4 linked regions of the Arabidopsis thaliana genome follow. The protein of the gene in region 2 interacts with the protein of the main gene of each other region in a pairwise test. Each region holds a gene or a part of one and is shown on either strand. Other genes may lie near its edges.

The links.
Region 1: the proteins of ACS5 (region 2) and EOL1 interact in a two-hybrid assay, tested with the Arabidopsis thaliana proteins (one study listed by BioGRID).
Region 3: the proteins of ACS5 (region 2) and GRF3 come close enough for resonance energy transfer, tested with the Arabidopsis thaliana proteins (one study listed by BioGRID).
Region 4: the proteins of ACS5 (region 2) and EOL2 interact in a two-hybrid assay, tested with the Arabidopsis thaliana proteins (one study listed by BioGRID).

Annotation. Positions count from the first base shown.
Region 1 is NC_003075.7:1,179,420-1,188,468, reverse strand, and holds EOL1 (ETO1-like 1), read left to right. Parts: upstream 1-3,456; 5' UTR 3,457-4,140; coding exon 4,141-4,256; intron 4,257-4,329; coding exon 4,330-6,057; intron 6,058-6,129; coding exon 6,130-6,421; intron 6,422-6,626; coding exon 6,627-6,936; intron 6,937-7,046; coding exon 7,047-7,267; 3' UTR 7,268-7,546; downstream 7,547-9,049. Other genes in the region: AT4G02690 (Bax inhibitor-1 family protein), read right to left, coding at 935-1,141, 1,632-1,789, 1,953-2,066, 2,179-2,446. UniProt on the Arabidopsis thaliana protein: Possible regulator of the ethylene pathway, which acts by regulating the stability of 1-aminocyclopropane-1-carboxylate synthase (ACS) enzymes.
Region 2 is NC_003076.8:26,328,542-26,335,636, forward strand, and holds ACS5 (ACC synthase 5), read right to left. Parts: upstream 4,272-7,095; 5' UTR 4,158-4,271; coding exon 3,879-4,157; intron 3,775-3,878; coding exon 3,614-3,774; intron 3,528-3,613; coding exon 2,555-3,527; 3' UTR 2,205-2,554; downstream 1-2,204. UniProt on the Arabidopsis thaliana protein: 1-aminocyclopropane-1-carboxylate synthase (ACS) enzymes catalyze the conversion of S-adenosyl-L-methionine (SAM) into 1-aminocyclopropane-1-carboxylate (ACC), a direct precursor of ethylene.
Region 3 is NC_003076.8:15,406,571-15,413,100, forward strand, and holds GRF3 (general regulatory factor 3), read left to right. Parts: upstream 1-3,113; 5' UTR 3,114-3,241; exon of another isoform or gene 3,242-3,579; intron 3,580-3,679; 5' UTR 3,680-3,706; coding exon 3,707-4,180; intron 4,181-4,258; coding exon 4,259-4,381; intron 4,382-4,468; coding exon 4,469-4,585; coding exon of another isoform or gene 4,586-4,589; intron 4,590-4,661; coding exon 4,662-4,715; 3' UTR 4,716-5,031; downstream 5,032-6,530. Other genes in the region: RAD23D (Rad23 UV excision repair protein family), read left to right, coding at 1-52, 146-211, 298-345, 425-531, 625-703, 811-930; AT5G38490 (B3 domain protein (DUF313)), read right to left, coding at 5,298-6,392. UniProt on the Arabidopsis thaliana protein: Is associated with a DNA binding complex that binds to the G box, a well-characterized cis-acting DNA regulatory element found in plant genes. Involved in the regulation of nutrient metabolism. Reciprocal negative transcription regulation of miR396.
Region 4 is NC_003076.8:23,663,626-23,671,834, reverse strand, and holds EOL2 (ETO1-like 2), read left to right. Parts: upstream 1-2,948; 5' UTR 2,949-3,360; coding exon 3,361-5,285; intron 5,286-5,376; coding exon 5,377-5,668; intron 5,669-5,748; coding exon 5,749-6,058; intron 6,059-6,133; coding exon 6,134-6,384; 3' UTR 6,385-6,540; downstream 6,541-8,209. Other genes in the region: FOLK (Phosphatidate cytidylyltransferase family protein), read right to left, coding at 1-50, 137-204, 1,008-1,322; AT5G58540 (Protein kinase superfamily protein), read right to left, coding at 6,653-7,221, 7,310-7,442, 7,522-7,712, 7,797-8,209. UniProt on the Arabidopsis thaliana protein: Potential regulator of the ethylene pathway, which acts by regulating the stability of 1-aminocyclopropane-1-carboxylate synthase (ACS) enzymes.

The sequences.
Region 1 (9,049 bases), on a different chromosome or scaffold from region 2:
TGAGCCTTTTTTCATCATAGTAAAGAATATGGGTCGAACCCTCACGCCAGAGACCACTTGCCCATTATCCTCCTTGGCTTAGTGGTTACACACATACATTTGACCGTAATGTATCATAACATTTGCATTGCGACCACAAAGTCCAAAATCCAGTCACACATAGAAAGAAAAAGAATTATCAAAGGAATTTGAGTTTCTAAATCTAGTTATTTATTTTCCTACTTGTTTTCCCAAATTTAGACTTATGCGAAGACTAAATAATTAAGATACATGATTAAAACGAAGTAGCAGCATGAGCTGTTACAACTTACAAGACTTCCCCAATTTGGATTGATCACTCTCGTTACCATTATTGTTTTGTCCATTTGCATTTGGAGCATTCCAGAATTTCAAACATTCGTTTCCCTTTTCCTCAACACACACTTCGAGGCTTCCCATGTTTTGCTTCTCTTTTTGTTTTCAATATCAAAATATTCTTCATTTTATATCAAATTGTAAAAATAATCTGCTTTCCATTACTAAAATTGTCAAAATTTAAAATCCGAAACTCCAAATTCTACACCTAAACTAAACTCTAAAAACTAAACCATAAATCCTAAACCCTTATAACTCTTATTTTTTTTAACCATAAAATGTAATATGGTCTACATAAGTTTGAAATAAATATTATTAACAAAAAGCTTCAATTATCCCTTTTTTCTTATGAGAAAAAACAAAAGACTTGCACTTCTCGTGGTGTCTTTCGCGACATTACACACATGACACATCCTTGGCATTTTCGTTATAAATTATTACATGATCCACAGTTCCTGTGTTCCCTCTACAATCACTCACATGAACATGTGAACTGTAACCACAAAAATGTACAGTTTTATTTTCTTATTTACATATTTTTAAAGAGACCGATAAGCTAAATACCTCATCCTAATAATCATCATCTCTGTAAGGCTCTCAACACAGTAAGAAGATACAAGAAGAGGTTGATGATGTCTAGGTAGAGTGAAACCGCTGCCCAAATATACTCATCATACGTGTGTCTCTTGATCAGATTGTCTGTATCGTAAACTATGTATCCGCAGAATATTATCGATACCAAACAACCATAGATCATCACTGATACCCTCCCTAATGGGAACAAAATCTGCACAACATACCCCAAATTAAGTTACGAAACCTGGTTATGCAATCAAAAAGCTACCACATTTAAAATCAAGTTTCAAGTTTCTCATTTTATGCAATGCTTATAGTGATATCAAGTGTCAAATTCTAGCCTAAAGATTACTATAAAGAGCACCACATTCAAAAAGTTAAAAGCTCTCATTCTCTGTACTGCCTTTAGCAGTGACAAATCAAGCCTTTCTAATTTCTAAGTGTAAAACAATGCTGCCAAAACTAACACATTTCATAGGCTAAATCCCTTATCTGTAATGTCTAATGTGAAATCTCACTTCTTAGTCTCGTAAAAATGCTACCATATCCGATACGCTTAAATCTTGTGCTCTCTAATGTCTAATATAAAATGAAGTTGTTAACTGTTTAGCCTAAAGAATGATACCAAAACTACCACATTTCATAAGCTAAAGACTACAACTCTCACTCTCTCCAATGGAAATTGGAATAAGTAGCTTTACTTGTATTAAGGCGAAGAAAATAAGCACGGTGAGAGCGCCAAACAAGAAGGGTCCAAGGAAATTAAAGTCATATCCTTTCCTAGCAGCCCAAAAAGTATATAATGTGAGCGAAAGCACCACTACCGATGTCAAGATCACTGACTCGAGAATCACTTTCCCTGTGTCCAACACAGAATAAGCTTTAAACATATACACAATCAGAATCATAGAAAAAACTGAGAGATGAAATTTGCTAAGAGCTAGTTCCCCAATAGCAAAAACAGAACTTTGTTGCCTAATGGATCCTTAACAGGTAACCAAAAGTGGTTGATCAAGTCATACCATTGGTGAAGGCACATGTTAATCCAACAACAAAAGCCAGAGCCAAAGTGAAAATCCCCAAGAGCAAGTAATTCACCGGATGTTTCTGATGGTAATAGTACAACGGACACAACACTATACATCGGAGAGAAACACAAATCCAAGTTTCAGCTTTTGAGATTATTACCAAACTTCGAAAAAGATTGAAACTTTTGATTTGTAAAACAAGTGTGCGTGATGATTGTACCTATGAGAGGTGTGATGATGATGACTATGTAAAGAGCTAATCCAAGTCCGGTGGTGGCGAAGAACAGAGCGATTGGACGGACGGTGACCACCGTGGCAGCGACAGCGACGGTGGCTAGAAGCTGAAAGGCGATTATAGAGTAGACCTTGCGTATAAATCCCCACCGGAGCTCGGGATTTTCATGCATCGCTGGGTATAGTAAAGGCCTTCTTGAGCTAACGCCTGTTTCCACGTCATCTTTCCGGTACGGTAAGTTCCACTGATACATTATTTACGATAGCAGAGTCTTTATAAAGTGAAGGAACGCGCGGGAAAATTCGAATCCTTTCGATTACTACTGTATCACGATCTACAGAGAGAGAACCACAAGCGAGAGAGAAAAGTTGATGCGGTGCTTTGCTTGAGCTTCTTCGGATTTTCCTGGGAGAAGCGGTGATGCCAAGAGGAAGAAGAAAGTTCATGAAAGCTCTCGGCTAAACCGTAGATGACGCGTGGCAACCGGAGATGTCGCATAAGCGGTGACAAGGATTTGATGTGTCCAAAGGGAAAGTGTTCTTTTTTTTGGCTCAACACAATACTTGCTTAACCAAACTTCACAGTACATTTCAAATAGTAACGAAATTTTTTATATATATATATATATATATATATTTTTATTACTATTTAAACCGTACAATATTTTATCTATAATTAATTTGCATTTTTCCAATTAGAACTTAACTAAAAAAAATTAGTTGATCAATAGTATCATTCTTGCATTTAATATAGAGGGTTTTCAATCAATATATGTAAGATATTTTTAATCAATTATTTAAACTGAAATAATTAAAAGTAAAAATTGATTTGAAATTTGGATAAAAAGTAAACAAAAATAAATTTTTAGAGAAATTAATTTGGGATATATTTTCATCGTTGATAAATAATATTGAAACTGAAATTACTTAAAATGATGCAGTTTTAAATTTTAACGCTAGTTTTTATAAACTTTTTTTTTGGTTTTGGTGGTGTTAAATGATTGAGTTGATAGTTTAACTTGTTAAATGAAAATATAATTATAATGTAGATTCTTGACTAATCATAGTTTATATTTTTAATCGTAATTGAGACACAAAAGGCTGTTATGCTTGATCATTTTTGTATACATTATTGTAGAATGTAAAAACTTATAATTAATAGAAAAAATAATAATTTAGTTCAAAAAATAGAATTTTTCACAATCTCTTGAAGAGTGGCCTAAGAATCCGATAGTGGTGGTTACTGTTTGTGTTGAGATATAGCATATGAGCAAAAACAATTGAAAAGAAGAAAAACTTTCCCTTTTACCAATGAAACAAAAGAGCTCTCAGATAATTAGAAAAGTGTCAATTTGTATAACATTTCCCACTCTCTCTCTCACTTCGATTCACTTTTGCTCAAACTTGACAACTTGTCCGAATCTGTCCATAGCACACCTCTCTCTCTGTTTTAGGGTTTTCTCTTCACTGGTGCTTTCTTCCTTGTCTCGCTGGTTCAAAGATTCTTACTTTTTGATGTCTAAGACATCTTAGATTTGTTAGACTCTCTTTAATTTTTCTGGGTTTAGCCACTAGATTATGTTATACTGCTAGAAGGTTAGGGTTTGGTCGAGAAAGCTCTAATTTTGGTGATTTATCCTCTTAATTTCGCAAAGGGTTATCTTTTCAATGGCAATTGCGAGTGAGTTTTGTTATTCTCACTTATGTATTTAGTAATTGTTCCGTCAGCTGTACATAAGTGGTTGGTTTCATAGAGAAATGCTTTTAGCTTTAGGTGTTGTAAGATCTCATAATACCAAAGTTCAGATTTTTTTGTATAGGATTCCATTAAGTAGCCCATCTCCACTTAGTTTCTGGTCTGGGTAGTGTGTAACCGACAAGAAAATAGTGTTTTGACTATCCTCTGGCTATCCTGGAGATCTGGGATTTGTTTCATCTGTTATGTCAGATGAGGACTTTTTACCCTTCTGATTCTTGTAAAGAATCACAACTCGATTCCTTGAATCCACAGTCATGGCTTCAAGTTGAGAGAGGGAAGCTATCTTCCTCTGCTTCTTCATCTGCGTAAGTTTCATTTATTTTTCTTGAACTTTGAGATGTTTTGGATATGGAGTAATAATATTTGGTCTTTTTGTAGTCCACTGTGTAGAGAATCATTTATCAAAGTTCCCGAGCCTCAGATACTGCCGCATTATAAGCCTCTCGACTATGTAGAAGTTCTAGCTCAGATTCATGAAGAACTCGACACTTGCCCTTTGCAGGAGAGATCGATTCTGTATTTGTTGCAGTATCAAGTGTTTAGAGGTCTTGGAGAGACCAAACTTAGACGGAGAAGCCTTCAATCAGCTTGGCAAGAGGCTACTACTGTCCATGAGAAAGTTGTGTTTGGATCTTGGTTGAGGTATGAGAAACAAGGAGAAGAAGTTATCACAGATTTGCTTTCCTCTTGTGGTAAATATTCTGAAGAATTTGTGCCACTAGATATTGCATCCTATTTCCCAGCTACTACTGCTTCTTCCCCTGAGGCAGCATCTGTGAAGACGAACCGCAGTGTATCTAAAAATGTTGTGTTTAAGATAGGAGAAGAGAAGATAGCTTGCCAAAGGCGGAAAATTGCGAGTCTTTCAGCTCCATTTCATGCTATGCTTTATGGTAATTTCACGGAATCGCTTCTTGATGAGATAGATATGTCAGAAAACCATGTATCCTCATCAGCTATGCGGGTTGTTAGAGATTTCAGCGTTGTTGGTGTACTAATCGGAGTTTCCAAGAACCTTCTTTTGGAAGTTTTAGTTTTCGCAAACAAGTTTTGCTGCGAGCGACTTAAAGATGCATGCGATAGAGAATTGGCATCTTTGATTTCTTCTATGGAATGTGCCATTGAGCTTATGGACTTTGCACTTGAAGAGAATTCCCCCATCCTAGCTTCATCGTGTCTGCAAGTTTTTCTTTATGAGATGCCTGATAGTTTGAATGATGAGCGTGTTGTTGAGGTTTTGACTCGAGTTAATAGATCTCAAGTCTCAACCATGGCAGGAAAAGCTCCATTCTCCTTATATTCTTGTTTAAGTGAAGTCTCGATGTGTATAGATCCTCGGTCTGACAGAACACTCGGTTTCTTGGAGAAATTAGTTGACTTTGCAGAAAATGACCGGCAACAAGTATTGGGGTTCCATCGGTTAGGTTGTATGAGGCTATTGAGGAAAGAATACCGGGAGGCTGAAGAAGCTTTTGAAACAGCTTTTAACTTAGGCCATGTGTATTCCGCTACTGGTTTAGCAAGACTAGGATACATCCAAGGGCATCGGCTTTGGGCTTATGAGAAGCTAAGCTCGGTAATCTCCTCTGTTTCGCCGCCTCTCGGGTGGATGTATCAGGAAAGGTCTTTCTATTGTGAGGGTGACAAGAAATTGGAAGATCTCGAGAAGGCAACCGAATTGGATCCGACTTTGACATATCCTTACATGTATAGAGCTGTCACACGAATGTCGAAACAAAATGCTAAGGCTGCTCTTGAAGAAATCAATCGGATCTTGGGGTTTAAACTTGCTTTAGAATGCTTAGAAATTCGGTTTTGTCTTTATCTTGGTATGGATGACTATGAAGCGGCTCTTCGTGATATTCAGGCTGCTCTTACGCTGTGTCCTGATTATAGAATGTTCGATGGGAAAGTAGCTGGGAGGCAGCTCCAGACGCTTGTGTATGAGCATGTCGAGAATTGGACAACCGCAGATTGTTGGATGCAGCTATATGAGAAATGGTCTAATGTTGATGATATAGGTTCTCTTTCTGTAATCTATCAGATGCTCGAATCCGATGCTTGCAAAGGTGTTCTCTACTTCAGGCAATCTTTGCTTCTCCTAAGGTAATTTTTCTAAATAAAGGTGTTCTTTACCATTATTTAAGCATCTCATTGTCATACCTTTGTTTTGTTCAGGTTGAATTGTCCAGAAGCAGCGATGCGCAGTTTACAGTTAGCCCGCGAGCATGCCTCAAGTGACCACGAGCGTCTAGTTTACGAAGGATGGATCTTGTATGATACAGGTCACTGCGAAGAAGGGCTTCAAAAGGCTAAGGAATCCATTGGAATAAAGAGATCATTTGAAGCTTATTTCCTCCAAGCTTATGCCTTAGCAGAATCTAGCCTTGATCCATCGAGTTCTTCTACTGTTGTTTCACTTCTTGAAGATGCTCTTAAATGCCCCTCTGATAGGTTGCGCAAAGGTCAGGTACGGTCGTTCACCATCAGTACATCCATTTGTTAATCAGTGAAAAGAAAAACTATGCTTCAGGTTGATAGGGTTTGGTTTAGTCAGGATTAGCCAATTATGTTACTGCCTGGTTTTTGTGAAATGTCCACTTTGGTTTTGGCTTGAGTCGATTTGGTTTTGTGCTTATTTAGTCTATGAAAATGCTATTTGTTTTTGTTTTTAGGCTCTGAACAATCTCGGGAGTGTCTATGTCGATTGCGAGAAGCTAGATTTAGCTGCGGATTGCTATATAAACGCTCTCAAGGTAAGACACACGCGTGCACACCAAGGTCTAGCTCGTGTCCATTTCCTTAGAAACGACAAAGCTGCAGCCTACGAAGAAATGACCAGACTAATCGAAAAGGCTCAAAACAATGCATCCGCCTACGAGAAAAGATCTGAGTATTGTGATCGTGAACTCGCCAAATCTGATCTTGAAATGGTCACCCGGTTAGACCCTCTCCGGGTTTATCCTTACCGATATCGCGCCGCAGGTTTTTCTTCACTTGCAACTCTTATGCTCCTTTTTTTGTTCATCATCTCCGAAAAATAATTGGCTTAACCGAAACTTGATTATTCGTTATTCTTTTGTGGGTTTTGATAGTGTTGATGGATAGTCGGAAAGAGAGAGAGGCTATCACAGAGTTATCCCGAGCTATCGCCTTTAAAGCAGATCTTCATCTTCTTCACTTACGAGCGGCTTTCCACGAGCATATCGGTGATGTCACGAGTGCGTTGCGGGACTGTCGTGCAGCGCTCTCGGTCGACCCCAACCATCAGGAGATGCTCGAACTCCATAGCCGTGTTAATAGCCATGAACCTTGAACCGCAACCACACACAAAAGAGCTTCGATATGAAAGTAAAGTGTGAAAAATTGTAATACTAAAAGAATCATTGTTGGAAACTTGTAATCTCTTGTAACTCTTTTATTCTTTGTTGCTGTTTTCCATATATCGATTTCGTATTTTGTCCTTCCATCGTAAACTTCAAATTTCTCTGGGCCTAAAACGTAAACTTGATTTAAAACAATAAGTAGATCGTTTGAGTTCTTGGTGACAAACCTAAAGCATTTTCCTTTATTATTCTTGCACCTAATAAAGCCCCAATGAGCTATCTTATTTTCAAGCTTTAGGTTTGAAAATGTGAAAAAGCTTTGGGTTTGTCACCAAAGACTCAAATGATTTCGATTACGTTTTATAGAAGGTTGAATGTTTGTACTCTTGTTACATTAACCCATGACATACATTACATATACATATAATATATAAGAGCTTTTACTACAAGACCTATTAACATGGGCTTAGATGGGCTTCTAGAGTTGTAGTGTTAATAACTTGGGCTTAATGGGTACTATAATACTGATGACTAGTTTTCTTTGTCCTCAAATGATCTAGTTTCTTCCCTGTTTTACTTTAAAATATAAAATTTTCCCTTTGTTTGTTACAAGAATTCGAATATTCATGTGTTTATTTCCTTCGTATAGCATATATATTTTCAGAATATTTCACAATTCAAAAAAGCCTTTATGAAAATTTTAAAAGAAGAATATTCGGTGTTGCATGGGTTTTAGTTACGCTCGTGTCTCATAATGGTCACACGTTTTGTTTTGTTTTGGCCTAAAGGGATTCCATCATAAACTGAATTTTACTACAGTAGACACGCCTATCCCAATGAATCAAATGGTACAAGACACGTCTAAGGACAAAATCGACTTAACAAAATGTTCTTCATTGGAATATTTTTCTATAGAAAAATTTCAACAGATAAAAAGTTAAAGAACGGATGAAAGAGTGCGAAAAATTCTTGTTGGTGGGGTAAGTATTTTCTTTTTGGACATGAACAATTTTCAAAGGGATATATTAAGAATATTAATCAAAAACTTATAAAGGTTGGAAAAAAAGGAAGAGGAAGATAGCACAAAGCCACAAAGTCATCCACAAGAGTAAATCATATGAAGACGAAACAAAATTCAACAAAGTGATATATTCCATTTTGATATTCAAAGCCAAAATGCTTTTAGGGCATTGGTTGCTTTGAGTGTATGTATTTTTCTCCCCTACAAATACAACTCTCTTTTATCTTTGTGAGTGATTCAAACTTAAGTTAGGAGGCATGTAAGGATGTTGTATAATCAGAATTTAAATTTAAATTAGAGAAATAGACAATAAAGTTGTTTAATTCGTCTTTAGGGCGAAATAGCTTTAAACCTAAATTTGTTTTTTTTTTGTTAGAATCTTTGTATGATGTTCCCTTTTTACAATGAGTTTCTATTTCCTTACGTTGTTTTAATTTATTTTATAGCTTATGATAAGTTTCATTCAAATCAGTGTGCCTTTTTAAGAATTTTGGGTATATTATGGGAATGAGAGAAACTATAAGGAAAAAAAAAGATAAAGCTTTAGCAGCCTTGGTAGAGAAAGTAACATCACTCAAATTCATAATAACACACAAGTAAAATATAATAATATTTAAAGACAAATTCAGAAGAAAGTTATAGCTTTTTCTACATGAAATAAAATCGAACTAGAATCCCTAGCTAAAGTAATAAGGAAATACAAATAGAAAATAGCACAATTGAACAAGTATACTTATACTCTTGGCAATAA
Region 2 (7,095 bases):
GGTGCATCTAAGCCAAAGAAACAAATCTTTGCGTGATTTGATAATTGTCTCTTACGTAACATATGTGCGATGAATCTTCTTAATCGTGCACATATTAAGTGGATGTATGTACGAAGCACATCATTAATTTAAGTTCTATCGTTCTAATTATAGTTATAAAGATATATTCGTATATATATATAAATAGCTAGTGACTTCTCGATTCATAAGCTATGCATCAAGTACGAGAAAAACTAACGTGACCCACATGGTATATTAGAGAATACTATAATATATGAAAAAATTTAATTCTGAAAATTTCCCCATAATGTTATGTTATGTATGGATCAAGTATGTATGTGTAACGTAAGTAGCAATGCCATGCGTAGATGACCCCTCATGCATACATGAAGAACATCAAAGGGGTCCTGGCATATAATTGATGTAATTTGAATTCCAAATTATATGTCCAATCGGTCGAAGTCAAATATGGAGTAAAAAACAAATCGTTACAATTCATTTGTTTGTTATGCATATATAAATATGATTACTATAGGTGTATGCATAAGAGATGTTATATGTTTCTGTGTCATGGCATGTGCAGTTATATGGCCTCACTCGTGAAGCCCACGTGACTGAAATTTTGGTTCAAACTTGACATGCATATGTACATAACTTCCATAATCTATATCTACTTTACAATACGTTGATAAAGATAAACTTCCATAATCTATATCTACTTTTAGAACTGGGTAAAACAATATTTTAAACATTTTTACAAGAAAACGTATTCTTACATTACCAACTATATGATTAGTATGTGGCACCAGTTGACGTAACAATTTATGGAATGATAATATCAAATATCATTCCAATGTCGCTTATTATAGTAGCAAGTAGACTACGACCATGACAATGACGAAAATTTTCTGGTACAACGACTTCATAATGTCAGTTTGTATAGTTATGGTCGGTCATATGCAATAAAGACTTTTAAGTAGAATATTACTTAATCAGTATTACTCATTCACGGATTCTCAAATCCAACCAAATTCTCAATCTCTTATTTTTCAAAGTACGTACTGCTACTACATATCTCTGTTAAGTTTTTATAATCGAATTGTTAATTAATTGAGACAGATTTTTGGGGACTCAACCACCACATTAATGCTGTTCACATGTAAGGATCATTTGCCGTTACGGCCGGTATAGCCGCGTATCATGCTAAAATTAAAACAAAATCGGTTACTAAAGTTGTATTATATATTTCGTAGTCTACTCTTCGTAGTACCAACAAAGCTCATGGCACTTTTTTAGTTTTTTTTTTATGTGATAGGCTTAGCATAATAACATTTGACCGGTATCTTATATCTTATACTATAATGATTAGCCTATGATGATATGACACTTTATCCTCTACTTTATCCCTCGGGAAATAATTTCACAAGAAAAAAAAAATGGTTATAAAGACTTTTCTCTTTAAATGATTGGAGCCTTTTCATCCTCAAATTTTTGAAAATTATTGATTTCGATGATTGGAATTGTAATGTATAAATCTATAATCATTGTAATCATTGGGACATATCCTCCTTAACATATATATCAATCAACCATGGCTCTCGATATACAGATTTCGGTTTCTCATAAGTTGCTCATTTTTTTCTTATAATTACGTTAATCCTGATAGAGTAAGTTTTGATTATACAAAAAAAAAATGTGGATTTCGTTGTAAACTTGTAATTTTAGTTCAAATATGTGACGTGAACATTCTTACGCAATGCAACGTACCTATTCAAAGCTCAAAACTTTACTGCCGTAGAACGCTAGAAGCTACCTTTACCCCGAAATTGTTAATGGGTTTTAGTCGATTTTTAACTAAATTATTTAGGCTTCATCGAATATTTTCGACAAGTAGATCATACCTTCTCTCTTGATTCACCTAAGTGGAAAACCTTTGACTTTCCCCTTTTGCTTTCTCAGTTGACCAATTCGACAATTCCCGCCATATTACCATATAATGATTAATTAATTAGTTAATTGACATTAAATTAAGCCTCCTTTTGATATGCCTCAACTAACGTCCTTAACCAACAACGTTAACACGATCTTTATAGCCTTATAGTCAGAGGAGAATTCTCACAACAAACTCAAAAACTATACCAAATGATAGAGCATAAAATTAAAGAAACCCATATTTATAAAACAAAATATATATAAACTAAAAAGAGTGAATTACATTTTTATATATGGGTACAATACACACAAACGTTTCACTAAAATTACAACGGGATATATATTTATTTATATATATAGCCACTGCAAATCCACATTCGGATTGAGTGCATTAAAAACATATAATAACACATAGTAACAATTTTACACCCGAAAAATTGCATAAATTAAAGACTCACCCAAACATTAAAAAAAATATTACATATATAATGATATGATTATAGATATCTTGGAAAATTAAAAATACTTTCCCAAAATATAAAAAATGAAGGAAATAAAGAAGAAGAAAAAACCGTGAAGTTTTCTTTTGTTCGTCGTCTCAAACTTAGGGAGATGAATAATTTCATCGTTCATCAGGTACACGATCGGTCCATGAAACCCGGAAAACCCAGTTAGAGACTGTCTTCTTCCTCAAACTCTTGAGCCTTTCATGGCTGCTTCTTGATATCATTCGTCCACAGTCTGTGGATTCTACGAAAGTTTTGAGCCTCTTCAAGGCCAAATCGAGTGTGTCCTCGCTCATATTAGCGAAACAAACCCTAAACCAACCCGGTTCGGTGCAGTGACATGAAGAACCGGGTGATATGTTTAGTTTCACGTTGTAAACAATCTTTTTCCAGAGGTCAAGCTCTGCTTCAAATGTGTTTGTGTCCAAAAGGTGTCTCATGTCGACCCAACAGAACAAACCCGCGTTGCTTCTCAGGCAAGTAATCCCTGCAGACTCAAGACCAGACACGAGGCGTCTCTGTCTGGACTTGAGTCGTTTCTGGTTCTCTTCGAGGTATTGGCTAGTGAACTTCTTGTCGGAGAGCAATGCAGAGAGAAGGTATTGTGTCTGAGAAGAAACAAGACCAAAACTTGACATTTTTGTAGCTGCTGAAACGATCATTTCGTCGTTGGAGTAGATCGCTCCCACACGGAAACCAGGAAGTCCCAGATCTTTAGAAAGGCTATAAACGACGTGGACTCGTTTTGAAACCTCCGTGTCTTCGAGTTTCTTGTCTTTCAAGACATCCATTACGCTTATGAACTGTTCAAACCCGAACATAGTGCCTGAATAGATCTCGTCGCTAATGAGATGAATGTTCTTGGAAGTGATGAAGTCAACGAGAAGGTTAAGTTCACGTCTGGTCAACGCAGTGCCAAGTGGGTTAGATGGATTCGTGACAAGAACTCCTTTGACTTTGAGATCAAGTTTCTGGGCTTGTTGGTAAGCTTGTTGCAGAGCTGATTCCGTGATTTGGAAGCCATTAGAGCTTGAGCAGTGAATGGGTACTATCTCTGCTCCGGTTCTCCATTTAAGATCTCTATCAAATCTGTAATCATAAAAAAGCCTAGACGTAAGCATATATTTCTATTGGGTTTACTTGGAATCCAAGTAAAGAGGAGAAGTGTAATTTACCCAGGATAGTAAGGAGTAGGCAAAAGGAAAGCATCGCCAGGCTCTGCAAGGCAAAACATGAGAGTCTCATTCGCAGATGTCGAACCAGCCGCTAAAACAATCTTTTTTGGATCGAACGTGACACGGTTTCCTCTTATCTCTTCCATAAACTCAGCCATAGCCTGTAAAAAATGACAGAAAATGTTCATGAGAAATGGATTCATTACTTGTGATACACGTCAGGTTACTCTCTTTATTGAATTTGAGAAAAATGAAAGAAGCTTACTTTTTTGAATTCAGGCATGCCATGATAGTCTTGAAATAGAGCAAGCTCTCTGAAAATGGATTGACCGTTCCTCTTGAGACTTGCCGCGTCTGGGTTCTTAGTTAACCATGACTCGATTAGATCGAAACATAGCTGGTTTTCGGCTAGACCCATCTGGATCATCCCATTAGGGTTCTTGATCTCATCATAAGGATTCTTCTCGTACTCTTCCCATCCCAAGAAGTAGGATGAGTCTTGTCCATGACCATTGCTTGTCACTTTTGTCGAAAGCTGTTTCATTCTCTGTTTTTAAAGTCAAGAGATTTTGGTCGTAGAGAAGACTAATGTGGGTGAAGGAGAGAACGAAAAGAAGAGATCTTGAATTAGGGTTTAAGTTGGTGAAGAGTGAGATGTGGTTGGAGAAGCAATGGGTCTGTTGGGATATATATATATATAGATAATAATAATCTAACGACATTTAATTTCAAAAATAAAATGTGACAACAGAATCAGAAACTAGAGAGACTTTTTTGACCGTCCAGACATTACCATAGTTTTTAGTAAATATTCTCCAAGACATGTGAGACAACTTCTTTTATTATTTAATGCGATCTCCAATAATTAACAAGCTATATTATTTAATACAAAATAAACAATTAAAACATTGCAGTAGTTCTTGTTTCTTTTTGAAAATAAGAATGATCTATTATTGAGTTTCTATTTATTATTGCATTCACACATACAGCAATAAATCTTAGGATTATGTTTAAATAAAAATAAAAAAACCAGCTCTACATAGGGACAAAATTAAATAACACATTTTGAGCTTCTTTCCAAAATTTATTTGATCGTTTTCTAGGATTCAAGCATATTTAATAATAATTCTACAAATTAATAGTACTAAAATGATTAGTCTTTACGCGTTTCCGTCACCGCCGGACCGTCCTTATTATGACCATCATTTAGGGACCAAACATAGCAATTTAAAAAGAAACCTCAAATGTAATTAACTTTTTGTTGTTGTTGTATAAACTGAATCACTATGCTTATGATTAGTTTAGTCGTCCATTCACGATGTCAGCTACAAAATTGGCTGTGTGAAGTTGGATAGAAAAAAGAACCAACATTAATTTATATTCTACTTCTTGTCCAATACTAATGCCAAATAATTACTATTTATAGACTGCTAAAATTTTATATGTCGTATAATGTGAGTATTTTGCTGAAAAAAACTGTGAGCATTTTATGTAACTTTAGTTATCAGATTCTGTAATTAAGTGTCAACACGTTGACTTAGAAAATATTAACAAAATAAAATAGGGTGGTAAACGTAAAATTGGAAAACAAGGAAATGACATACAAGAAAAATGAACAGAGACAAGTGGAGCTAGGGGAGTCAAATGTAATGTCATACCGACATCAAATCGTCTAAAGTAATCCTGTATACCTATGCATCTACGTATGTATACATTTATACGGCTAAAATACATTTATTTATACGGTAGAGGGTAAGTCAAATAGGACCATTTATGCTCCCTAAACTCTAGTAGTCCCAAATGTCTTGGTCCGCAATTTTTTTTCGTTTTCTCTTCCTCTATCATTGACAACAACTTATTTATTTGGTGGGATCGGATACATACAAATATGTTTTTTACTGACTAGGATGTTTTCAGTCTTGTAATTATCGACAGGTTAACCGGAGTTGTAATTAGTTTTTTTTTTTTTTTGGTTAAAGGGTTTTGGAGTTAGTTTCATGTGAATTATGCGGTATTCACTGACGTAGACTGATCTCCAATACCAATAGAATAAATGATGATAGTTTAGCATAATTGTGTTGGTCCGCAGTTTATGTAAAAATAAATGTTGAGTCAGATATTGTTGCAGATATATTGATATAGTTACTTTGATCATGGGTGAAATAATGAGTTTGGATGGTTATCATAATAAAAACATAAACACAAATTTTTTGTAGAATACAATTTTCCTACTAGTTGAATTGAGCTTTAGTTGTATATATCTTCATCCTGTTTTTTTTTTTAAAATGTATACAAATCAAAGAAATAAACATATTGTTTATTATATAAACTCGAAACTTTATTTAAAATAAGCTACTAGTAGAATGCACAAATATTTCTTGAAACATGAGATTTTCAAAATAAAAATCATAAAAATGATGTGCAATGAGTGATTCAGTTTTGGACCTAGAATGATTAGTATAAGAGCATAATATTTAATCAATCAAATTGAGTTATATTAACATAAAAATCAGGTGGACGATATCAAAACCCATGTTGGTGGCCGTTGGTTATAACTTATACCCCCAGATTTGTAGGCGACGTTGTTCGTTTAAGTTTGACTCCAACTATTAACTAACTTAACTGGAATATTCTTTGGTAGATGTAACATATTATTGTCTCTTAACTAACCAAAAAAAAACATTAATGTTTGTTATAGGATTTTTTCTGACGTCAGGAAATCGTTATCATTTCAAAATCGTATATCCACTTTTTTGAAGTACTTTTTTAATAATTAATGAGACGCTGTGATTTTCTCAGATTATTTTTGAAGATTTTAATTAAAAAGCTCAAATTGATTTGATTGCTGCGAAAAAAATGGGTCCTCGTATAACAACTCTTAATAATGATACATTGGAGAATCACATGTGAAATAATATTTGATGATGAAGCCATATATTTCGGTATTGATCATCTTATTCTTGATTCTGTTTTATGAAACAACCAAAAGATATCATATCAACTCATAAATGCAATCATATAATTGGATAATTAATATCATATAGCTTTTTTTAGATTCTATACTTTGAAAAATCAAGATAGAATATATTTGTTATATTTTTTCATTTTTTTCCAACAGATTCTAATTATAGCTCAAAGTTGTTATATTATATTCTCTATTTTATATGTATAGACAGTAGAAAATAATCAAGAAAAAAATTCACTTGTGCTGAAATTTGCCAATTGATACATAAAACACTTGAGGTTCTTCATGACCATAATACCATTGTCTCAACAATATGATTTTAATAAAATCAAAATAATCAAAAAACAAGTAAATCTTTGAAAATATTATAATCTATTATTCTGATGAAGAATTTTCTTAAACTATTAATCGCGATATTTCACACACACACACATACACATACAAAAAAAAAAAAAAAAAAAAAAAAAAAAAAAAAAAAAAGATAACGAACTTCAATATAATTGACGAAGTTGGGACT
Region 3 (6,530 bases), about 11 Mb from region 2:
AGCAGCTGCAACTGGTGGTCCAAACGCAAATCCATTAAACCTGTTCCCCCAGGTAGGGTTTTTAAACTGGTGAACCGATTTCATTTGCTCGTTTTCCCTTGTGAATTTGTTTTATTGACATCCACTCTTATCTGTCTCTATCCAGGGCATGCCCGCTGCAGATGCTGGTGCTGGAGCTGGTAATCTTGATTTCCTGCGTAACAGTCAACAGGTATTTTCAATTTCTTTTCCATTCGAGAACGGAAATCTTCATTTCTCTCCTCTTATGTCATTTGCAATTCTTTTGCCTTTTCATAGTTCCAAGCCTTGCGAGCTATGGTACAAGCAAACCCACAAATTCTACAGGTAAAATTTTTAACCTCTTATTCTTTATTTGGTAGGTTATATGATATTGATTTCCCACTTATACTGTTTCGTTTTGCAGCCTATGCTTCAGGAGCTCGGTAAACAAAACCCCCAGCTTGTGCGACTAATTCAAGAGCACCAGGCTGACTTCCTACGCTTGATAAACGAACCTGTCGAGGGAGAAGAGTGGGTTTAATATCATGATTCTCCTTTACGTTTTCATTTTATTCTTTTTTCTCAATAAAGCATGTAATCTGACATTTCATTCGATGCCACCAGGAATGTTATGGAACAGTTGGAAGCAGCAATGCCACAAGCTGTTACCGTTACACCTGAAGAGCGTGAAGCCATTGAACGGGTTTGTTCCTATGATCTTTACATTTGTACCTTTACTAGATGCTCTGGTTCCTCAAAATATATGGCTTGTATTGAAATTTGATTTTGCTGTTGTTTGTTTTGGTTTAGCTTGAAGGGATGGGGTTTGATCGTGCGATGGTCTTGGAAGTGTTCTTTGCGTGTAACAAGAATGAAGAACTTGCAGCTAATTACCTTCTAGATCACATGCATGAGTTTGAAGATCAATAAACAGAGCAAATCCATTCCTCCCTCTAAACTCAGACCATCTTTCTGTTTCTTTTTCTTCTTCTTTTTAATATGATAATCTCTTCTCCAATGCCATTTGACAGTTTCATGTTTATGTTCATGGGAGTTGATGTGTTTATGTTACTATTAAAACTATCATAGTTTATCTGGTTTGAAGATGCTCCTCTTTTATCATATTATTAGCCTTTGAATCCTTCCTCTCTTTAGGTCTCAGATGCACCAATATTAGCTAAGATTAAAAGTGGATATTTTGGTTCTATATGACTCATCTCGAGTTAGGAATGGTATGTCGAATCTGGTTTAACAGATCTGGCCTAAAACGAAACCGCTATTCAGATCCAATTATTGGCGCTTACATTGTTTTCTCATAGCCTCAAGCTATGCAATATCAATTATTGCACATTTGAATTAACACAAACCCATCAATTAATATATCAACAAAAACCCATCATCAATTAACACATCAACACAAACATAAAGACATATAAGTTGCTCATGAAGAACTTATAATGGTGGAACCAGTGAGCCTTTGAGATCTGTCATAATCGTCTCTGAAATTGTCTCAAATCGAGAGAGAAATGAGAAATCTTAAAATTTTACCCTAAATAATTAAACCCTAGCTTTTAATTATTACTGCACAAATTATGTCTAAATAATTTTGCCCATTTACTAGCGAGCTTATATGGTTTGTAATCCATTTTAAACACTTTAATTTTGGGCTTCACCAAAACCCAACCATTATTATTTGGACGTGGACATCCCATGGTCAGAAAACTCATTCGATAACCCTACATTTGATGATCAAAGTGGCACGGAAGCTCGTTCGATCTACAAGTTTTGTGGTGAGGAGACTTCTCAGTTTTTCTTCTAGTGTGGTTGTACTTCAGGTAAATTCTTTTCAATACTTAGTGGAATTTTTCGCTAACTGTTTTGTGTAAATAAGGACGAGGCCTCCATAGCGTTCAGTGCTTTAACAATGCCGTATCCACTCTGCTAATCTTGGATTTCAAGAGGTATGACAGTTTGTGTTGTGATAGGAGCCTTCATTAAATTAAATAATTTCAACAATTTATTTATTTTTAGAACCAAAAGATTTTTCAAAAATTTTGATTATCAAAAAAAAATCCAACAGATTTTCTGTTAAAATGAAAATATATATTAGATTGTTTTTAAAAAAAATCATCTGCCGGAATTTGAATCTGGACATGCTTATTTTCAAAAAAACATTTTAGCTAATGTGCTAGTGCATATGTTTTTGCTAAGGTATGAATTTAAATTGGATATATAGATCAATTTATTTATTTTAAAACCAAAAAAAATTTAAAAAGAAACTTAGCGGGATATAAAATAAATATATATTAAATTTAAAAAAAAAAGATTTTCCGCTACGGGAATTTGAACCTGAAAATGCTGATTTTTAAAGAAAATTTAGCTAATGTGCTACATGAGATGTTTTTTTTGCTAAAGTATGAGTTTAAATTGGATATATACATCATTCAATTTATTTTTCTAATCTAGAATTTGCTTTCCTAGGACAAATATAGGTACTGAATTATTAAAGAACATATTTTTTGGTAAGATATAAGTGAGTTTTTATATAATTTTGATGATTTTAGGTAAGTTGATGTGATTTACTGTAAAGTCTTTTCAAATTCTATCTAAAACTATGAGATTTAGATTTCTGTATTTTTAACTAAAGAAGTCTTTTCAAATCCTTTCAAATCCTTCAAAATTAATAAGAATCAAATCCACTAACTATTTTCAGTAACAGTAAAAAGGTTGATTTTTAAATTTTTAATTTAATAACACTCAATTTCATTTAAAAATTTAAAATCCATAATTAAATAACATAAAATTTATAAATTTTACATAAATTATTAGATTGAATACACCGCTCTAAATATACACAATGTAAAAAGTCTGTTTAAGATCAATTATAGATTTAACTTAAATCTAAAGGCCCATAATACCGTCCTGTACATCATATAGTTATCTCAAGTTGTAATACTGTAATACCCGTTGGGCCCAGTGGCCCATTTATCAGATTTCAAATAACAGATCTCAACACTAGCATGGCTACACACGTGTCAGATTCAATGCATCAGTCATATCTTCAGCATCCAACACTTGTCAACCTTCCATTGGATCTCTTAACTCTACGCCTCGAAAACAGTTTTTATTTATTTATCATTCCATTTCTCATTGTATCTTCATCAGTCTCTTCTTATTCCATTTTTTCAAACCACTTGCAAAATTCGAATCAGATCTTCTCTTCAATCGAAAAAAAAGAAAGGTAAATCTCTCTCTCTCTAATCATCGTTCGTTTCGTAGTTTCTTCTTCTACGTGTAGATCTGATCTTTGATTGTATGTTTCTGGAGATCTCGATCTCATCGATTCTCTGTTCTTATCACTGATTCAGTGTGTTTGATATCTAAATCCGATTTGTGTGTAGGATGTTAAAATTTAGGTTTCGGTTTTGTTTCTGCTTTTGAACGATTTTGCTCTAGATTCGTTATCCGTGAAGAACATAGACGAGTATGTAGATCTTACTTCGGATTCGCGTTGAAGAATTTTCTCTAGATTCGTCACCTATGAAGAAGATTCATTGTGTTCTTAATCTAGATGATTAGGTTATTGTTTCGACTCATTTGTTTATGCCTATTTTCTCTATGTTCTTAATCGGTGAAGAAATGTATCAATGTGTGTATGTTTTGGGTTCTGATTTTGTAGGATTTGCTCTAGATTGTTGAATCGAAGATGTCGACAAGGGAAGAGAATGTTTACATGGCGAAATTAGCCGAACAAGCTGAACGTTACGAAGAAATGGTTGAATTCATGGAGAAAGTTGCGAAAACTGTTGATGTTGAGGAACTTTCAGTTGAAGAGAGGAATCTTCTCTCTGTTGCTTACAAGAACGTGATTGGAGCGAGAAGAGCTTCGTGGAGAATCATTTCTTCGATTGAGCAGAAAGAAGAGAGCAAAGGGAACGAAGATCATGTTGCTATTATCAAGGATTACAGAGGAAAGATTGAATCCGAGCTTAGCAAAATCTGTGATGGGATTTTGAATGTTCTTGAAGCTCATCTTATTCCTTCTGCTTCACCAGCTGAATCTAAAGTGTTTTATCTTAAGATGAAGGGTGATTATCATAGGTATCTTGCTGAGTTTAAGGCTGGTGCTGAAAGGAAAGAAGCTGCTGAAAGCACTTTGGTTGCTTACAAGTCTGCTTCCGTAAGTCATTCTTTACAACGTTTTTGAATGTTGTTTTCTTTTGTGGGTATGATTGATTTTGTTGTTGTGATAATGCAGGACATTGCCACTGCTGAGTTAGCTCCTACTCACCCGATAAGGCTTGGTCTTGCACTCAACTTCTCTGTGTTTTACTATGAAATCCTCAACTCGCCTGATCGTGCTTGCAGCCTCGCAAAGCAGGTTTGTGTAGTACACCTGATTTTCACTTTTTGCTTCGTGTGTTATTATTATCTCAGTGAATGAAACAGCTATTTTGGGTTTGTGCAGGCGTTTGATGATGCAATCGCTGAGTTAGATACATTGGGTGAGGAATCATACAAGGACAGTACACTGATTATGCAGCTTCTTAGAGACAATCTCACTCTCTGGACTTCAGATATGACTGTAAGTATTAACAACACAATATACGTTGATCACTAAGTTATGTTGTTGACATGATGGTTTCTTTTTTGGTGAATAGGACGAAGCAGGAGATGAGATTAAGGAGGCATCAAAGCCCGATGGTGCCGAGTAAACCCGAAGAAGAGGAAGAGTCATTTTATAATGGTAGAAAACTTTCATGTGATAATCTGAGTGAGGGATAGCTCAGGATTCTTATAAGAGACACAGTTTTATTGTTGTTTGTTTGTTTTGAAACTACTTGCGATTTATCATTCCTCCTTTAGCTTCCTCAATATTTCCTATTCTCCTTTCTAATGAAATCAAAACTTGGTTATTTCTGATATGGTAGTTGTCTTTATTTTCTATTTTTTTGGTTATTGATTTGATCAACTAAAAAAGTGTGATAACTTTCTCAAATTGATTAATTAATGTACGAAAACACTTGCTGCAAATGGATCACTTCCATGACATTATACTTTGATATAATATATTACAAGAAATAAAAGGTAACTAAAGTAGAGAAAACAAGAAACCATATTTATAACAAAATATTTCATTTCAAACAATGGTAAAAGATCTCAGATAACATAGGAGACAGACAAGTTACTACTAATAAAGGAGAGAACCACACCAAAATCCTAATCTTGTTAATTAACACTTCCAATAAGTTACTGAAACTCAAAATCACTGAATAAGCTAGTGAACAAGTGAAGAGCTACTCTGTGTCAAGTGCAAAGCAGAGGACTCCACGGCACCTGAAAGTCCAAAGGCTGATCTTGTCGCCGACTTTTAAGCTGCTACTTTTGACGACATCATTCCAACCCCAATTCAAAGTGTAATTCAATGTTCCATGTCCAGAGTCCTTCTCCATCGCCCATATCTTGAAACGCAAACCCCACTTTTGAAATCTTTGGTTCACAAGAACCGTTCCCACACCAATATTCTCGTCGTCTTCTTCATCATTGTCTTCGTCTTTCTGCATAGCTCTACACTCCGCAGGAGTCAGGAAATCGTTTCTGATTAGCTTCTGGAAAGGCATTAAGAGACGACTAAGGTTTGAGTTGACATCACTCTTAAACAGAGTCCTCTCAAATATCAGCCTCGGGGTTTCAGCATCAGCGTTCATGTATCTCATCACTTGGAAAATCCACTCAGGCATCTCTGTACACAACCTTGGCAAAGGAGAAACCTTAACTTTCTTGACTTTACCACTCTTCCTCTGCTCCACGGCACGCCTCTTGCGGTTTGTCTTCCCTGTTAGGCATGAAGACGGAGACGAAGATTGGTAATTAGGGTTTGGTACGTCTTTTGTCTCTGTCGAAGGTTCAAGACAAGGAAGGTTCAGGAGCGATGAAGAAGAAGTAGAAGCTCCATTAAGATTATCAAAGAGTTTCTTTTCACTCTCGTCATCATAATCTTCATCGTAGACAATCTTGGATTTACCTTTCTTTAAACGTTGTTCTTCATCACACACCATAGGTTCATCAAAACAAGGGTTTTGTAGGTTGTCTGTCTCAAAATCAGTAGGGATTAGGTTAAGATCGGGAAGCGATGACGAACAAGTAGAAGCCCCATTAGGGTTTTGTTGTGTGTATCTTCTCTTCGCCAAAGACGATTTGATTTTCCTCGGGAAAAGATAGAAGAAACTCATCTTGCACTTGGATTCTTCTCGTTTCTCTGCAAGAAGACGACTACGTTGTTCTTCTTCCTCCGCAACCATAACCGTCACATACGCCAGTAAACTTAAACCCGACGACATATTCTTCCCCGAATCCGTGAGATGATTATCGTGATACATAATACTACTCATCGTGATTGAATCGAAAGACTGGAAAGTTTCTGAGAGCGACGACGTGAGGAACAAGAAACTTGTATATAGAGAGACGAGAAACTGATCGACGATTAGAAAAGAAGTACCTTCTCTTGCCTTATATATACTTTACAATAG
Region 4 (8,209 bases), 2.7 Mb from region 2:
TATTGAGTCCAGGTACAAGAGATGCGAAAAGTGCTCCTTGGATTCCAGAACTGAAACAATTGATATCGAAATAAACTGGTGAAGCAGAAAAGCAAGCTGGTACATCAAAATCGATCCTTTCACTCCGTATTATTACCTGAACAGCGGCCAGCAAAGCATAAAAACTAGCCCAATATTTATATGCACAAGCTTCCGGATGAGTTTCTGAAAAATAAGAAATAACACCAATGTCAACCACAGATGTTAAACCAATGCCTCATTCAATAAAACCATGAAAGTGGAGTCAGTCCTACATCAGACAGCCTGTGGATCTTATAAATTCAATGGGTTCTGAGATGATATCTTAATCACGATAAGGTCAGAGAAACAAAATCAAGTAGCTGAAGCCATACAGGTATTCCCAAACCAAAAATGTTTAATAGAATTTTTGCTAATCATAGATAATTCCTCTACTCCTAACCAAATTACTTGAAGAAAAACAAGTCACTGCGGAGAAACACATAAGAGAAAGGAAAAAAAAACAAGCCATGTCCAATATGTGTATAGACTGACTCATACGAAGAAATAATCCTTCAAAGTATAGCAAAGAAATTGTGCAACATTTAAACCTACAAAATTCATATATATCATAAATATGGTTGAATCTTCAAGTTACGATGAGATTGTGATTATACCGCACGAATTTCAAAAAAATTTCATCCCCAAATTGGGTTCTGAGCAATTTTCCCACTAATTTACCAGATATGGGGTTACTTTCCCATTGTTTATCGCAGTGTTCTTCCACCCCAAAATAGGTATCCATTCACATTCTATAATTTCTTGAACTAATAAGATTTATTATCCTCGCCATTAATGCCATCCATTACTCGATAAAGCTTACTACTACCATTACTCTGAATCCAAAGTTGCTTTAACCAGAAATTGCAGAATCGAGCAACATTCCAAAAACGTTATTCAACAAATCGACGCGTGTATAATTTAATTAAGTGAATTGAATGATCGAAAACCTGGTCGAAGATGCCACGTTTGCCAATCTCTCCCCAGAAACCGAGGCACGAGAACGCAACGATGCTAGTGACTCCAAACGCGCAGACATCTGATAAAACCGAATTTTCCGGAAACATCACGGCGGCGAGTGAAGACTTGCGGATTTTGGTGGCCGGAAACCTAGAGCTCGATCTAAAGCTAGTCGCGATTCGGACAGTGAGGAATCGTGGAATCGGAGAGAAGAAGGCGAGAGAAGGAGGAGAGTCAACGAGAGGAGATGAAATGAAAGAGCAGCAGAGAACGGAGAGCTTTGTAGTAGTACTAGTAGTTGCCATTTTCTGCAACACTAGAAAACACGACCTTTTCTTCGATTACGTTTTCATTTATTTTTTTTGACAGTAACTGGTTGGTAGTTGTTGTTGCTCAAGCACACAAAATTTGGTTTGTTTTATTGTTTACCAAAAAGATGGTGAAAAGTGGATATTTATTTCCCCAAAAGGAGTGTTTTACTTTATCTGGTCACATATGGATTAAAGCAATTTTAGTTTCGTTCTATTTGGATTCGGCTAGAATGGTTCATGACATGGTGGTGTTCGTTTGAGGAAACGCATAATTTGTTATTGTGGGCCTAGTTTGGGCTTTATATTCGCTAAATAATTTGGGCTGGTATAAGTCAACTAGACGGACCACAATTTGATTTCATCAAATAATTTTTCATGATTAATAAATCCCTAATTTAGTTACGAAACACAATTCAATTATTGTGCTACTCAGATTCGAGAAACATAAAAAAAAAAAAAAAAAAAGTGATTCAGATTCCCTCACATGGGTTGCCGAGACACATGACCACACGTCTCTTGCCTTGTTTAATCTTTTATCAATTTTGCATCAACTTGTATATACCATAAGAAAATTATTTTAATTGATTTCAATGTGAGATTTTCTTTAGTATTTTTTGCATCAAATAATGCCAACCTAATCCTCAATTATCCATCTTTATTTTTTTTCTGAAACAATCTTATATTATTTATCTGTTGGCAAAAGAAAAAAAATCCTCAATTATTTCGCAAATGGTATATATGTTTATCTTTAAAGAGTACACTTGCATGTGTTTTCCAGGTGTGCGGGCAAAAGAACATCAGAATTGGTTCTGGATATAGTTCTCTCCACTTTTTATTTGTTATTGTTTTAATACAGTACGTTTTATGAGAGTTTTTTATATATATAATAAATTATGCGTTTCCTGATAGTTGTTGGTCCAATATCGAGAACAAAAAAAACTAACTACAAGCTAAAAACCTAAAACTATGAAGATCTCAGAAAATATAAATATACACGCTCACGTTAGCGAGTAAAAAAGTAGACACCAGATTAACAAATGATTAGTGTGATCACAGTAAAGAAATGTTTTGCAAAATTTTAAGCAATTTTTTGAAATCATGTTGTATGTAATAAATTGAGTAAATTCATGCTGTACATAAATTAAAGACCATTTCTTTGTTAGTCATTGAAATCATAACCAATCAACCAATAAAACTGAATTTTTTTCGTTCATTAGAGAGATAAGTTAATATCTTCAAAGTTTAATGTTAAGCTCAATTGTTTAGATAGGAGATAACCGATAAGAAACCACATAACTAGTTAACCTACCTATCTTGGCATCACATGAATCAATGACGTTGGATAGTCAGAGAGGCTTATTTTAATTATACCCGAAACGAACCAACCATCTATAATTCTCTAAACTATATTTAATCATCATATAACTCTGTAATAAACCCAAATTTTCACAAATTAAAAGCCATACCAATATCTTCAAATATGGAAAAAAATAACAATTTAACAAAGAAACAAAATATTTCCTCACCAAAAAAACAGAAACAAAATATTGTTTTAAAAAAGGAAAGTGGTCTTTACACAAAAAGGAAAGAGAAAGGAAAGTGGTCTGGTTCGTATCGCACCCAATAAGAACCACCAACTGTTGAAGTTCGTAAACTGTTCCACAAAAAAATGCATAAAAGAAAGAAAAACAGATATGAGATTCGACCATTTTTTTTCCATATAAATGTTTTTTGGGTTTGCAAAAATCGACGCCATTACTCTTTTTTCTCCCCAAATTATTGACCTTTTTATAAAAATAATTTATATTCTCAATCACACTTCATCGTCTTCTTCTTCCTCTCTCTCTCTCTCTCCTTTTTGTCTCTGCACTGTGTGTTGTCACCGGAGACAGAGCTTGTGTTTTCAACTCTCTCTCTCTCTCTCTCTCTCTCTCTCTCTCTCTCTCTCTCTCTCTCTTGCTCTCTCCGTCTCCCTCACTCTCTCTTTACTTCAAAATCAAACCCTTTTCTCAGATTTCTGTGATATAGCAAAATGCGCAATCTCAAACTCTTTGAGAGATTTAAAAGCACTCAAGTCCACGCCTTTACTACACAAGACTCTCCCTCTACAAGCAGCAATGGTAGCCCTCGAATGATGAAGTTCCTTGGGCATCCCAAATCCAAATCTCGTTCACTTCTCCCTCATGGCTTTCCCACCACAGACCTCCTCGAGCCTCCCTTGGACTCTTACCTCAAACCTATCGATTTGGTGGAGTCATTATCAAATCTATATCGGAGAATCGAGTCCAGTTCGGAATCCGAGGCATCGATGCTCTACCTTGAGCAGTACGCTGTTCTCCGCAGTCTCGGTGATGCCAAGCTCTTGCGTAGGTGCCTTCTCAACGCTAGGAGGCACGCCATTGATGTCCCTTGTAAGGTTGTTTTCTCTGCTTGGTTGAGATTTTTTAGGAGAGAACATGAACTTGTGGGAGTTGAATCTATGGATTGTAATGGGCTTGCTTCTGAATGTCCGAAGACTAGTTTGACTCATGGTTGTGATTTGAATGTAGACGACGAGGGTTGTGAATGTTCTACGGTATGTGAGGATGAATTTGGTAGTGATGACGTTAAAATCTCTAAGGCTGATGAGTTTTCGGGTCTAGATGAGGTTAGCGATATTTCCTTCTGCGTAGGTTCAGAGAAGGCTAAGTGTGTTAGGTCGAGAATCGCAGCGCTTTCGCGTCCTTTTGAGGCCATGTTGTATGGTTCTTTCGTGGAATCAACAACTTCTGAGATTGATTTCTCGGAAAATGGCATCTCTATTGAGGCAATGTTGGCACTCAACATATATAGTAGAATCAAAAGAGTTGATCTGTTTCGTGTGGAAACTGTATTTGAGCTGCTTCAATTAGCCAGCAAATTCTGTTGCGATGATCTGAAGTCTGAATGTGAGGCTCGCTTGGCTGCTTCTGTCACTGACCTTGATAAAGCTTTAACCTTTGTAGAGTACGCGTTGGAGGAACGCACAACGCTTCTCTTATCTGCTTGCTTGCAGGTGTTTCTGAGAGAGCTTCCTCAGTCTCTTCACAATCCCAAAGTGATGAGATTCTTCTGCAGTTCCGAAGCAAAAGAGCAATTAGCTTTTCTGGGTTCAGAGTGTGTGTTCCTGTTGTACTACTTCCTCAGCCAAGTAGGCATGGAAGAGAAACTCACGACGGACACTATGCTGATATTGCTAGAGAGAACTCGAGAGTTTGCTCGTACAAACTGGCAAAAGGCTTTGTCTTTGCATCAAATGGGATGTGTTCTGTTTGAGAGAAAGGATTACAAAGCAGCCCAGTTTCATTTCAGATTAGCTTCAAGCTTAGGGCATGTCTACTCTTTGGCTGGGGTATCAAGAACTGAATATAAACAAGGGAAGAGGTATTCGGCGTACAGGCTCATGAACTTTCTCATCTCTAATCACAAGCCACATGGATGGATGTACCAGGAGAGGTCTCTGTACAATGTTGGAGTTGAGAAACTAAAAGATTTAGCAACCGCCACTGAACTTGACCCGACACTGTCTTTTCCGTACAAGTACAGAGCCGTAATGAAATTCGAACAGAAGCAGATTAAAGAAGCCTTCCAAGAGATTGATAGATTAATTCAGTTCAAGCTTAGTCCAGAATGTCTCGAGCTGAGGGCTTGGCTGTATTTAGCCACTGGTGACCGGGAGAGTTGTTTGAGAGATCTTAGAGCAGTGCTGTCTTTAGAGCCCAATTATGTTGTGTTTGGTGGGAAAATGAGAGATGATTTGGTGGAGGCTCTGACCGCGCAATGTATTGAAGTAGAGAGTGAAGCGGATTGTTGGGTGAGGCTTTTCGATAGATGGTCAGCTGTGGATGATGTTGCGTCGTTGGCTGTTGTTCATCAGATGCTTCAGAATGATCCCAGCAAAAACTTTCTGAGGTTTAGACAATCTCTTCTTCTCTTAAGGTAAGAAGAATATCTTTTGTTTCTCTGGCAACCTGATTGGTGAATTCTTCAGGAGTTGACGGAAGCTACATTTTTTTGTGATCTGTAACAGATTGAATTGTCAAGGAGCCGCGATGAGGTGTTTGCGAATGGCATGGAACTTGGCTACTTCTGAGGCAGAAAGGTTGGTCTACGAAGGGTGGCTTTTATACGACATGGGTTATGTGGAAGAAACTCTTACTAAAGCTGAGGAGGCAATCTCTATTCAGCGATCCTTTGAAGCATTTTTCCTCAAAGCATATGCTCTAGCTGACAAGAATCTCGATGCAGACGAGATCTCTTGTGTGGTTCAGGTTCTAGAGGAAGCCCTCAAGTGTCCTTCAGATGGGCTACGCAAAGGACAGGTTGGCATTTTGATGTCTCGCCTTTCTCTTTCTCTTATTCACACTGTAATCTGATTAGTCGTTTTGTTATGTTTCTGCAGGCTCTGAACAACCTTGGGAGCATCTACATCAATTTGGGGATGCTAGATCAAGCTGAAACCGCATATAAGAACGCTATAGAGATCAAACACACTCGTGCACGCCAAGGGCTGGCGCGAGTTTATTTTTTGAAGAACCAACGTAAAGAAGCTTGTGAGGAGATGACAAAGCTGATCGAGAAGTCGTGTAGCAAAGCAGCAGCCTACGAGAAACGGTCTGAGTACTGTGAACGTGAAAAAGCCAAAGAAGATCTTGACATGGCCACAACACTCGACCCTCTGCGAACTTATCCCTACAGATACCGAGCTGCCGGTAACTAACTCTTCCTGTTCTGTATTAACATCTTATAAATTCTAGTAGTTAAAGAAGTGATCGTATGTGTGGCAGTGCTGATGGATGATCAGAGAGAGACAGAAGCAGTGGAAGAGCTGTCAAAGGCGATAGCTTTCAGACCAGAACTGCAAACGCTGCATCTCAGAGCAGCATTTCACGAGGCCACTGGGAATCTGTCATTGGCCACTCAAGACTGTGAAGCTGCTCTCTGTTTGGACCCTAACCACACCGAGACGCTCCATCTCTACAGCAGATCCAAGGATCAAGCTTCTTCCATTGACAACACCATTTTTGGCTTAGATTAATTTGAAGGTATCAACCATATTATCCCATTTGTATATTTCATTGGGATCTTATAAATAGATTTAACTTTTATTTTCTTCTTCTATAAATGGATGCTGTAAAGAAGCTGCCATTTATTAATCTTACCAATGGTTTCTATGCAAAACCAACTTTTTAGTATATACAGTAAAGAGTCTTTTAATGCAGAGGAACAAAAAAAGATGATCATCACTTCACAGTGTCATTTGTGTATATATACAGGGGACACCTAAAAGGACGGCTCCTTTCTCTTTAGTTTCCTTCTGTGGATATGATCTCCAGCTCTGTCCACCACCGTGGAGACAGCCTCGGCATTGCTGCGTCAGCTTCTATTCCAGTTATCTCTCTCAATTTCACCACAACCTCTCTCATTGTCGGCCGCTGATCTGAGTATGGATTCAAACACTGCCTAACCACCTCCAACAGTCTCTCAACAACATTTTCCTGAAATGTTTTCAGTGTCGGGTCCACAATATCTCTTGTGGGCTTGGGTTCGAGAAGCATAGAATCCGGGTCTGGTAATTTTCCACTGATGATTTCGAATAAAACGGCACCAAAGTTAAAGACGTTGGTATGGGGATCAAGTAACGAGGGTTCTAGAAGGTTCTTGCTCGAGGAACCCTCCTTAGAGGGAAATATGGAGTTGATGACAGAAAAGTCAGAGACTTTGGCGGCGTTGTCTTCAGTCAAGTACACAGAAGAGGAGTCCAAATTGGAGAGCAAGATGGGTGGGTTAAGATTGTGCATGTGCTCTAGACAGTAAGCTATTCCCATGACGATTCTGAGTCTGGTAGGCCAGTCCAAGTGCTCCACGTATTGAGCTGCCATGAGATGAGAGATCAGTTCAAACAGTTCAAAGAGTGTACGAGTTAAATCAAACAAGGTTTCTTGAGGAGATGAAATCCTCACAGTGCAGATGCTCGGAGAGTGATCCATTGGGAGCGTATTCAAAAACCAGCATTCGCTTGAAGGGCTCTTCCTCAAGGCAATAACCGATCACATTCAAAAAGTTCTTGTGATCCACTTTGGATAAATTATGCATCTGCAGAAACAGAGCGCAGTTGTTCATTAATGGCAATGCAAATCTCAGTTCAAGACAAGTGCAAACGAGGTTCTGATACCTTTTGTAGCAACTGTGTGTCCATGGTGGTGGACCAGTCTGAACGAGAACCGGCCACAATAGACACCACAGCGATTTCAGCACCAGTGGACAAAGTTCCTTTATAAATGGTGCCGTCTGAGAAAGATCCTATGACATTACTGAAATCTTCGCAGGCTGCTTGTAGCTCAGATAGCTGCAGCCTCGGAACATCTGCTCCAATACAAAACTATAAATTTAGAGAAATTCCATATGAAGAGAGAAAAAAGAGAGATGAAGACTGAAGAGTGTGTTTGCCTGTGATAAGATCATCGCGAAGCTGGCCACTGTTGGTCCAAGGCTTGATTGGAATCTTTCGAGTGAGGATAAGAAAGATGATGATTAATGCTACCGAGACTGTGAATACCCCACCGACTATGCCAACGATCATATAAACTTTGGGAGACTTCTTTGTAGTTCCTGGAGACACAGGAGGAGACGGAGACGGAGCTGGAGCCAGTGGTACAGGCAGGGGAGTGATAGCAGGTGGGGTCTCTGGTGTTTGTGTTGGCACACCACTTCGAGGAGGGCTCGGGGTTTCGTTGCCTTCTGGTGGTGGCGGAGGCAGCAATGGATCTTTGAGGATAGCGGATTCAGGAGATGGCGGAGAGGCATCAAGGGCAGGGTCTTTGCCAGGAAGAGGTGTATCGATAAGGCTGCGATGGTTCGCA